Macaca fascicularis: one gene and its partners. The protein of the gene in region 2 binds, or shares a complex with, the protein of the main gene of each other region. Links are inferred from orthologs where the notes say so. Each region holds a gene or a part of one and is shown on either strand. Other genes may lie near its edges.

Region 1 (3,562 bases), on a different chromosome or scaffold from region 2:
ATTAGGACATTCCTTATTTTAAGCTTTAAACAATTTGTATAATAAAATAGTGTCAGTAGGTCCAAAGCTGAAATGCAAAGTTCAGATTTCTAATACAAAGGAGAGGAGTATTTTGTTTCTTTTGGTACAGCCATGGTTCCCAAACTGTGTACCAGGGCACCTTAGCAAATTAACATGGGTGCCACACAATATTTTTAAATTTTTGAGAAAAACATAGCAACACCTGTTGGACATAACATAAACTACTACTTCGAGGTAGTTTACATTTTCAACATTAAATAGCATTATATTCCTTTCTATAACAACATATCTTTACAAAACTCGGTTTTCAGCAGTTTGATAAAAAGTACTGTGCAAGAAGCAGAGAGGAAAAGAAAATGACACTGATTCCAAGGTTTGAGACATGCAGTGTCCACAGTTACTAGTGGTGATGATGTACATTCTTATTAAGCCATTGTACCTAACTGCTTAATAAACACAAGTATTAGATAATTCTTTTGGACCAGGTATGCTGTGAAAAAAGTACTGAGGCACTAAATAGTGTCATGAGCTGAGAAAGTTTGAGAACATCTGTGCTATAGGCAAGAAAAATACAAAACGTCATTCAGTTTTTCTACCTAGAAATTTTCTAAATAAATAGTCATACAAAAAAAGGGAAAATATATAGAAACGTACATACAAAGTTTGGATTTTTATTGAAATCTTGTTAGGTATCAAACAAAATCTGCTTTCTTCAGATAAAAATATTCTCTCAGATGTCTCCAGATAACTGCTAAGTCTAAATTGGTCCTTCAATGTCTTATTTTTATTGTCCTCACAAAATGTTCATATACAGTTAAGATGTTCCCAAAAGGATTCTTATCGTGTAAAGGAGCGTACATGACGACCTCTACCACTTCCTCCACTAACAAACTTTCCTCTTGAGCCTCCACTGCCGCTATTTGCACTAGCCCAGGAAGGTCCAAGTCCCCCACGACCTCTAGAAGCACGGTCCCGAGGACTTGGGCGGTAACCTGTAAAAGAAAAAATACAGTTTTTAGTTCCAACGTCCTTTCTTTTCCAAGCATGTAAATACTAATCTACGTCACTGAGCTCAAACCAAGAATTACTCTTTTCTCTTTTAAAACTCATGTGCAAGCACTGTGAACGGGGTGAAGATTGTTGAATTATACATTTTAAACAGGTAAACTATATGGTATATAAGAATTATATCCCAAATAAAACTTGTTATTTTTTTTAAATGTGCATTTGAAACCAAAAGCTACTTCTGATGAGCAACATTCTGGACTAGATATGGTGATGTTTTAAAAAAAAAAAAGTTATGTGCTTACACGCCTAAGACAATAAGCAAAAAAAAATATGCTATATAAAGGTATCTCTGTTATTAAAATACTTTGTGGTCAGAAAGGTACCTTAAGCATTGACTTTCATTACTGAAACATAAAAATAAGAGCACAGCACCATGAAACTGTTCAGATTATACAAACAGTTCAGAAACTAAAAATTTGATTATTTTTATAGAAGATGTATATTGGGCATTTATTCAAGGATATAAATGTTAGAACTTTAAGTCTATACTCTAAAATATTCTCTCCCAGAATGAGAGTACAGCTGACCCTTGAACAACATGGGTTTCAACTGCCTGGGTCCAGTTATATGTGGATTTTCTTTCACCTCTGCTACTCCTAAGAAAGTAAGACCTCTCCTCCTTTTCCTCAGCCTATGGAATGTGATGACCTTTACGAAGATCCACTTCCACTTAATAGTAAATGTATTTTCTTTTCCTTAAGATTTTCTTAATAACATTTTCTTTTCTCCAGCTTATTTAATTGTAATACATTATATAATATATAATATATAAAATATGTGTCAATCAACTGTTTATGTTATCTGTAAGGCTGCCAGTCAACAGCATACTATCAGTAGTTAGGTTCTGGGGAAGTCAAAAATTATACTTAGATTTTTGACTGCGTGGGGCAAGGGGATGGGGAAGTTTAGCACCCCTAGCCCCCTCTGTATATATCAACAATTTAAAAAGGAAGAATTCACTTCCCTTCTCTCAGCAATATCAAGTAGCAAGGATGTATACCTGTAGAACTAAGGGGTCGTAATGGTGGAAGAGGGCCTCTGTTAAAATTGCTCTGGCCTCCACGACTTTCATTGTAATTTCCTCGAGGAGTATTCTGAGCACTCCAACTGGAGCCTCTTGTTCCTTCCCGACGACTGTAGTTTCCTAAACACAAACAGCACAATCAAAATCACTTTTTTCACAACTTCAGTTGGATTCTTTTAAATGACAGATTTTTCTTAATCTTCAACAGAATGGAAAAGAAACTGAAATTTTGTAAATTGACTGTACTATATATATAGTGGCAGCATCACAGTGGTTAAGAGCAGAGACTCTAGAGCCAAACTGCCAGGGATCAAATACTGGTTCTGCCACTTGTATTTATGTGCCCTGGTCAGCTGACTGACAATTTTCTCTTCCGCAAATTAGGGGTACTAAGAGAACTTGCCAAATGGGGTTGACGTGAGGTTATAATATGTAAAATGCTTATAAAAGTTCCTGACACACCTAATCTAAGTGTTTGTTATTAATATAAACACAGATTCTCTTTCACTCTCACCCTCCTAACTCAGCAGGTATGAAAATATGGTTATCAATCCACTACTAAAGTATAATTTCTGTAAGTATCCCTAGTTTCTAAAATCTTGTAAGGCCAGGTGCAGTGGCTCATGCCTGTAATCCCTGCACTTTGGGAGGCCAAGGCTGGTGGATCACCTGAGATCAGGAGTTCGAGACCAGCCTGGCCAACATGGTGAAATTCCATCTCTACTAATAATTAGCCGGGTGTGCTGGCACATGCGTACTCAGGAAGTTGAAGCAGGAGAATCGCTTGAAACCAAGAAGCAGAGGTTGCAGTGAGCTGAGATTGTGCCACTGCACTCCAGCCTGGGCAATAAGAGCGAAACTCTGTTTCAAAAAAAAAAAAAAATCCTGTAACAATTTCAAACAAACTAAATGTAGCATAAGAAAGCAAGCAGATTAGGCAGATCAATGGTGAGCTGCACAGAACAATCTTAAGAAAACTGTTAAGTATAATTGTGAAAATAATGTAAGGGTATTACTCAGAAAATGTATAATTCTCAATGTAAAAAGGAAAATAAGGCCAAGCACGGTGGCTCACACCTGTAATCTCAGCACTTTGGGAAGCCAAGGTGGGTGGATCACTTGAGGTCAGGAGTTTGAGACTAGCCTGGCAAACATGACAAAACCCCGTCTCTACTAAAAATACAAAAATTAGTTGGGCACGGTGGGGCATGCCTGTAGTCCCAGATACTTGGGAGGCTGAAGCAGGAGAATCATTTGAACCAGGGAGGCAGAGTTGGTAGTGAGATGAGATCACACCACTGCACCCCAGCCTGGGCGACAGAGCAAGACTCATGTCTCAGGAAAAAAAAAAAAAAAAAAAAAGGGAAAATAATTAGCCAAGACTTCTAAATTCATTCTTAGAAGTACAATGTATGAAAGGTTCATTGAAAAAAAAAGTTTCTTTCTTCT
Region 2 (3,911 bases):
CAGGTTATAAGATCACAATTATGACAAATAAAAGCTACTACTAACATACTAATGTTGACTGTGTGTTGTGTTAATTTTTGATAATTTAAAACTTTAAAACTCAGACAAATCTAACTTCAAAAGATTTTGAAGTTACATTTTCAAATTTTCACAATTTATCTAAAGTAATTTAAAAACTTGCAAACTTATTTCAAAAATTTACTTGAAGCTTAAATCTTAGTTCATATTATTTAGCTCATTATATAAACTTTACAGCAGTGAGGTAAAAATACAAGAAGTGCCATTAATTCTCTCTCTACATCTCAATTCCTCCTCCCTATCTCAATGATCTTATTCACTGACGAACACAATTTTTAGAAGAATGCTTTAATACAATTAAAAATAACTTTGTGAGTACCACTAGCGTATGTTTTTTTTTTTTTATTTTACCAACTTTTTTCAACCACCTATGCTAAACTTTGTCTCTTGGTGAGTTAGTTGTGAACTTAATCCTAAAATTACAGAATACACTTAACGTTTATAATCACTAGCTAACCATACATTTCACTGAATCTACAATACTAAGTTTCAAAATGTAACCGTATGCTTTATGGGTATGAATTTGCAGCAAATAAAATATAAGAAGTTATAAGACATTTCTAGTCATTCTAGTGATTTTCCATGTTATCAAATTCTATAGTAATCTCCCCATATCCTCACTAAGTCACTTCTAAGGTAACCAATTTTAGTAACTTCGTCATATAAACATACATCTAAACATAAAGGCACATAATAGGATTTTTCATTTTTCAAGGTGATCCAACTCATTTTCCTACTTTAAGTGAGTAAAAACTTTACGTCACATAGCAAGGGATTCAGTTATACATTTCTATGCTATATTGTCTGTGATCATAACTAGCAAATTATATATTTTAGAGATGAGGGATACTGACTTTAATCACAGAGAGCTGATAATGATTAATTCAATTATATTCAATTATATCCCAGGGTTGTACCATGCTTCATGATTTGATGCTATTTATACTCAAAATTGAGATGAAAATGTAATATGAAGAGATGAATCTGAAACAGTAAGTGCCTCGAGCAGAGAAGGCTTCATCGAGAAAATAATGTATAAATTGGGACTTGAAGTTTGAGTAAGAAAGATGAGATAAAAGAAAAAGGTCTATCAGGCAATGGTATGAGTGGTACAAAGAAGGGCAGAGAATGGAAAGGCACAAGTCAGCTTGTCTAGTAAATGGGGGCTGAAGGGTAAAGAGTAGAAGCATGGAGAGTGAGGTTTCACACAGCTGGGGCTGGCTCTGAGTGGGCCAAAAGGTTGACATGGACTTAGCGTTCCTATTCTAGGACTGGGGAGTACCAGTGGGATTCTAGTCAATCCGACATTAAATACAGTTTCAGGTAGTGTTATTGTTTTTTTTTTTTTTTTGAGGCGGAGTCTCGCTCTGTCGCCCAGGCTGGAGTGCAGTGGCCGGATCTCAGCTCACTGCAAGCTCCGCCTCCCGGGTTTACGCCATTCTCCTGCCTCAGCCTCCCGAGTAGCTGGGACTACAGGCGCCCGCCACCTCGCCCGGCTAGTTTTTTTTTGTATTTTTTAGTAGAGACGGGGTTTCACCGTGTTAGCCAGGATGGTCTCGATCTCCTGACCTCGTGATCCGCCCGTCTCGGCCTCCCAAAGTGCTGGGATTACAGGCTTGAGCCACGGCGCCCGGCCGTGTTTTTGTTTTATATATTTGTTCTAAACTGCCCTAGAAAATAGGGATTCACTAATAATTATCTGAATCCCTCTCTGAACTAAGAAGTCATTTCAATTTTTGTAATCTTATTTTTTTAACATCTAAGAAAAGGATGTGATGGTTATTCTTCAACATCTATACGCACTGCATCTAAACAATCTTTTATTTCATTTAGGTTTATGTGAACCAAATCTGCCTTCATGGTAGTAGAGGGGACCACATTAAAAAATATATATATATATATATATATATGTCTGTATCTCATAGGCCTTTTCCTTCTGATATCTACTTCCCCTATAAAAGAATGGAGAATGAAGTCAATGTGCCTATTAGTGGATGCCCTTTCAGAAGAAAATAGTTGTTTCCCATGAAATCTGAAAAGAAAGAAGGCAGTATCACCGAAAAAGAGGTAGCACTCACCTTCCAGACTCTCAGTTCTCTCGGATTTATTTATGTCTTCAAATCCCTGCACAGATCCCAGATCTTTATCCATTCTCTCTTTATCCACGGCTACAGAGTCTCGCGAAGTGCTTTCTAGATCCCTTTCATGTTCACCTTCCAGTTTTGCTTCACAGCGTTTCACAGACTCTATTTGAGAACTCTCAAAAGTTCTGTCTCTGTCTCTGTCCCTGTCCCTTTCAACAGAATCAGAAATTAGTCTCTCTCTTTCCCTATCCAAGTCTCTCCTTTTGTCTCTTTCTCTCTCTCGTTCTCGTTCTCGCAATCTATCTCGATCCCTGTTGCGTGGCCAATCTTTATCAGCATCTCGGTCCCATTCTCTCTGCCTTGTATCTCTCCTCTCTCTCTCGCGCTCTCTATCGTGTTCATATCGATCTCGCTCTTGAAGCCTGTCTCTGCTATCAAATGACCCAGATCTTGAATGGACCTGTCGATCTGACTCTGGAGAACTTCTTCTTGAACTATGGCTTCTTGAATCCTGGCGATCTAAAATAAATATACCATGTACAAAGAGTTATTAGCACACAATAGAAACAAAATGCTTCATTTCAGGATCCTTTAAAACATAATTTACCTTTTTCCATATTCTATATAATTTTCTATATTCCATATTATCTCTTTATGTTCTATATATTTCTATATTCTACATATATATTTCTCTATATAAATATCCATATAAGTCATTCTAAGAAAAATTCCTCTCTCAAAGTTCTAATAAATTTAAAAAAGTTTCCTTGTCTATTTCCACTATAACCATAAAATATCTTCCAAGAAGTACATAAAATGATTAGGCATTAATAGAACTAATCACTCCATTATTTGATCTCTTCCTACTCCCCTATCTTATTTTCTGTGGTCAAAAGAGGCAGCCTTGACTGCATGAAGAATAGCAGGAAGGTTAAAATCATAGGCACTGATAAGGGACTTGAACACATAAACCCTTCCACCAAGACATACTACTAAAATTCTGATACTAAACTGATTAACACTATTATATGTATTTCTATTATAATGTTGGTATTAATGTGATAACAGGTAACATTTCGATGGGGCAGCTAAGCTTTTCTTTAAAAAGTTCCATAAATTTAAGGCAACATGTAAAGTAACCAATTTAGCATTACTTTAGAATTAAAATACGTATAAAATATACTAACCTATGAAACAGTGACTAGATCATAATTCAATTTTATTACCTGAAGAAGTACTTCGACTGGGTTCTCCACGCTTTAACTGATCAATCCTAGATTTTCTCTCTCCTGTGATTTCCAGGCTTTTTGTTTTTTCTCTATCTCTTGAGCCACTGTGCAGTACTCTCTTTCGACCACTTTGGTCATCTCCACTTCGATGGGCAGAATCATTGGATGGGGAGCGAAGACGACCAGATGTGTGACTACGGTTACTTCGATTGCTCCCAAGGCTGCTGCTCCTCTTTTGATCCACAGGTTTGCGATGTGGTGCATCTTCTATAGTCACATGAGGTGTCTCTACTTTTTCCATTCGTGTTCTGTGGCATTTTCTGTGTGAGTCTTCATTGGCAAAAGTATTATTGGTGGTACTGGTGGGGGTGGCAGAGGTGGAAATGGTGATGGAAGATGTGCTGAAAGAGGTGGTGGCAGCAGCAGTAGTGGAAGCAAGAGTTGCAGGCGCAGTTGTAGCAGTGGCAGTAGCCACAGGCGGTGGAGGAGGAAGAAGCGAAGACAGAGGAGAAGGGGTACT
Region 3 (3,911 bases), on a different chromosome or scaffold from region 2:
ATGTAATTGAGAGTCAGCAATAGCGTATTCCAAACAAATCTAACATACCTACATCCCTGATGAAATTCTGAGGTCTATGTCCAGTGTCTACAAAATGTTGGCAGTAATCATTATGGGGATTTAAGCTCTGTGTTCCCTAAATTAAAAAAAAACAAAATTAAATTTGTAGCATGCACTGTAATGGCAGATGAATTATCTCTACTTTGTTTTCTACTACAAGGTCATACAAAATGCAGTCAATTGATAGATTTAAAAAATAGTAATATTTGAAAATACAACTAAAATTATTACTTTTCAGTAGCTACTGATATTAATATACCTTTATCTCACACTAGCCAAATATCAGAAGACTATTTCATGAGCAATTTTAAATAATCTTTATTTCATAACAATGATCCTTAAATAATCAAAAAATATCTTGAAGACAAATAGGTATTTAAAATCTTTTCAGGTATAGAGCTTAAATGTGATGAGTTACAAAAATTATTTATTTTACCTTAAGAAAAGTACTAGAATCTTTGTAAATCTCTTCTTCATATGGCAAATTTTCTTCTTCCTGTTGCATTTCTAGTTCATCCTTGAAAAACATAAGATTAAGTAAATGTTTTACAAATAGGGGCTATTTCTCTAATTATCACATCTTGATTAAAACTCAACATAAATACTTTATTTCCTTAAGATTTAATAAATGTTTTAAATTAGCATTGAAGTCAAACATTGAAGTCTTTGCTTTTCCCATCATTAGATCTAGCTAGTTGATTCTTTTCATAAAAAAATTTCCTATCATAAATAATAATTACTATAACTACTATTTTGTTGATTTGTCTAAAACTATTTATCTCATACACAATACTATAAATATTAGAGTTTAGTTTGAGTCATGAAAGATATGACCACCAATGTTGCAATTTTATTTCCATTAGATTAAACTATACGAAACTGCTATGCTTATAGGTCAAAAAGGTTAGAATATCAGCAACTGTATATGGTTCCACCTAAAATAATCACAAGCATTTAAGTTATGTATTATCAGAACTGCAACATATAAGACATTATTCGCGAGATTAGGTATTATTTCACTGAACTTTCTAGAGATTTTATTGAAACTATACATTCTTATCTCTATTATATACAATTAACTTGCAAAAAACAGAAGAAAGTTTTTTGGACCATAATACTTTCAACTATTTCAACTAAATATTGCAACTACAAGTTAGAAGTTGGGTTTCCCTTGAGGCTCTTTCAGAAATATTTCTACAGTGTAGTCTAGGCCATAAATCCTAAAAATATCTTGATTGTACTATCCAATATTGTCAACATGGAATAACTCCTCCTCAAAAAAGACTACTGCAGCTTCTCAAAATCTGATCCAATCAATTACTCAAAGTTTCGTGGTTTTTTTTTTCTTTTTTTTTGAGACAGAGTCACTCTGTTGCCCAGGCTGGAGTGCAGTGGCATGGTCTCGGCTCACTGCAACCTCTGCCTCCCAGGTTCAAGCAGTTCTCCTGCCTCAGCCACCTGAGTAGCTGGGATTACAGGCATGTGCCACCATGCCCAGCTGATTTTTTGTATTTTTAGTAGAGACAGGGTTTCATCACATTAGCCAGGAGGGTCTTGAACTCCTAACCTTATGTGATCTGCACGTCTTGGCCTCCCAAAGTGCTTAGATTACAAGCGTGAGGCACAACACCGGGCCCAAAGTTTATGATACACTTATATCCTCAGTCGTCTTTAAGAATATTATTGCCTAGTGCTGGTCAGGCACGATGGCTCACGCCTACAATCCCAACACTTTGGGAAGTCAAGGCAGGTGGATCATGAGGTCAGGAGTTCGAGACAAGCCTGGTCAATATGGTAAAACCCCATCTCTACTAAAAATACAAAAATTAGCCAGGCGTGGCGGTGCGTGCCTGTAGTCCCAGTTACTCGAGAGGCTGAGGCAGAAGAATAGCTTGAAACCAGGAGGAGGAGGTTGCAATGGGCTGAGATCACGCCACTGCACTCCAGCCTGGGCGACAAGAGTGAGACTCCATCTCAAAAAAAAAAATATATATATATATATTATTACCTAGTTCTTACCAGACATTATGCTAAGTGCTTCATATACATAATCTAATTTAATCCACACAACTCTTGCATTAAGAAAAGAAAATTGGCTGGGCATAGTGGTTCACACCTGTAATCCCAGCACTTTGGGAGGCCAAGGCGGGTGGATCATGAGGTCAAGAGATCGAGACCATCCCGGTCAACATGTGAAACCCCATCTCTACTAAAAATACAAAAAATAGCTGAGCACGGTGGTGCACACCTGTAGTCCCAGGTACTTGGGAGGCTGAGGCAGAATAATCCCTTAGAACCCAGGAGGCAGAGGTTGCAGTGAGCCAAGATTGTGCCATTGCACTCCGGCCTGGCGACAGAGCAAGACTCCATCTCAAAAAAAAAAAAGAAAAAGAAAAAGATAAGAAAACTGATACCATGGTCTTAATGTAACCAGTGATAACATACGCCACTGATAATTATTTTAGCACATCTTAAAATGAGGCTTTCTATCAAATTTGTTTTCCTAAATATAAATCTATCATTTGAATTTATGTTTTCTTTGACCATAAACTTATTTCACTCTCTACTTGCCTTATATTCTTCCATTTTGTCTTCATCTGTCTCTCCTTCATCCAGATACTTACGTTTCGTATTTGGAGCAGAGGTATCATAGGAAGCCCTGAAAAATAAACAGAAATATTACTCACAAACATATACAAGATGCATAAAAGTATCTATTAATAATAATAATAAACAGATTATAAAAAAGAACAAGACAAAGTTTTCCTGATTAAAGAGTATCTATTTACCCAGTTTATAAGTCATCCAAAAAGTCAAATAACTTGATTGATAATTCTGTGCTTCATTTTCATGAGAAAGCAACCAAATGAGAAAATAAGCTGCTATAAGTGATATACTGAAAAGAAACTTATATAGTATGTATTATTTTAATCTGTTTTGAGCAAAACATATGTCCAAATTGAAAACTAGAATAACGAAAAAATTTTCAAATGCTTTCTGAACTACCAAATAAATACCACTTTTAGGGTAAAGTATACTTCCTTTTATACAAATTTCTAGGCTGGGCATGGTGGCTCATGCCTGCAATCCCAGCACTTTGGGAGGCCGAGACAGGCGGATCACAAAGTCAAGAGATCGAGACCAGCCTGGCCAACATGATGAAATCCCATGTTTACTAAAAATACAAAAATTAGCTGGAAGTGGTGGCGCGCACCTGTAGTCCCAGCTACTTGGGAGGCTGAGGCAAGAGAATCACTTCAACCCTGGAGGCAGAGGTTGCAGTAAGCCAAGATCGCATCACTGCACTCAAGCCTGGTGACAGAGAGAGACTACGTCTCCAAAAAAAAAAAAAAAAAAAAAAACTTAAATATACTTATTTATTTATAGTATATATGCTAATTTTTAGTCTAACATTCCATTTTCTAAGTACTTTACAAATGGGAACTTACTATCCTCAGAAAATAAATATTTCATAATTAATGAACTGACAATAAAAACCATTGTGTCTAAAATCATTATTTTTATGCTTTTCTCAATACACTGCACACCTACCTAGGGGTATCTGTTTATTAAAACAGTAATTCTTTCACAGTTTTTTTTTCTTTTTGAGATGGAGTCTCACTCTTGTCTCCCAGGCTGGAGTGCAGTGGCACAATCTTGGTTTAGCTCACTACAGCCTCCGCTTGCCGGTTTTAAGCAATTCTCCTGCCTCAACCTCCCGAGTAGCTGGGATTACAGGCGCCCGCCACCACGTTCGGCTAATTTTTGTATTTTTAGTAGAGACGGGGTTTCACCATGTTAACCAGACTGGCCTCGAACTCCTGACTTCCTGGGCTCAAATGATCCACCTG

Evidence for each region.
Region 1: the proteins of ZC3H13 (region 2) and VIRMA are in contact, whole or in part, in a cryo-EM structure (PDB 7VF2), measured with the Homo sapiens proteins. The link is inferred for Macaca fascicularis from reciprocal best matches to the Homo sapiens genes ZC3H13 and VIRMA. Residues at the interface, in NP_001317494.1 of Homo sapiens: Pro1492, Leu1493, Asp1494, Val1495, Ile1496, Asp1497, Val1498, Asp1499, Trp1500, Ser1501, Gly1502, His1507, Leu1518, Lys1520, Phe1521, Pro1523, Val1526, Met1527, Arg1529, Val1530, Gly1531, Ile1532, Ser1533, Lys1535, Leu1536, Ala1537, Gly1538, Leu1541, Lys1544, Val1545; in NP_056311.2 of Homo sapiens: Leu521, Ser529, Tyr531, Gln532, Leu535, Glu536, Ile538, Leu539, Leu540, Asp541, Val544, Val547, Thr548, Ser551, Leu554, Gln555, His558, Glu561, Val562, Ser564, Glu565, Lys567, Gly570, Asp571, Ala574, Glu575, Thr577, Ser578, Glu621, Glu625.
Region 3: ZC3H13 (region 2) and METTL14 share a complex: the UniProt entries of both Homo sapiens proteins name them as parts of the WMM complex. The link is inferred for Macaca fascicularis from reciprocal best matches to the Homo sapiens genes ZC3H13 and METTL14.

What each region holds. Positions count from the first base shown.
Region 1 is NC_088382.1:104,136,175-104,139,736, forward strand, and holds the end of VIRMA (protein virilizer homolog), read right to left. Parts: intron 2,234-3,562; coding exon 2,090-2,233; intron 1,014-2,089; coding exon 859-1,013; 3' UTR 675-858; downstream 1-674. UniProt on the Homo sapiens protein: Associated component of the WMM complex, a complex that mediates N6-methyladenosine (m6A) methylation of RNAs, a modification that plays a role in the efficiency of mRNA splicing and RNA processing.
Region 2 is NC_088391.1:25,167,992-25,171,902, forward strand, and holds part of ZC3H13 (zinc finger CCCH domain-containing protein 13), read right to left. Parts: coding exon 3,389-3,911; intron 2,682-3,388; coding exon 2,157-2,681; intron 1-2,156. UniProt on the Homo sapiens protein: Associated component of the WMM complex, a complex that mediates N6-methyladenosine (m6A) methylation of RNAs, a modification that plays a role in the efficiency of mRNA splicing and RNA processing.
Region 3 is NC_088379.1:123,984,579-123,988,489, reverse strand, and holds part of METTL14 (N(6)-adenosine-methyltransferase non-catalytic subunit METTL14), read right to left. Parts: intron 2,720-3,911; coding exon 2,632-2,719; intron 578-2,631; coding exon 497-577; intron 137-496; coding exon 49-136; intron 1-48. UniProt on the Homo sapiens protein: The METTL3-METTL14 heterodimer forms a N6-methyltransferase complex that methylates adenosine residues at the N(6) position of some mRNAs and regulates the circadian clock, differentiation of embryonic stem cells and cortical neurogenesis.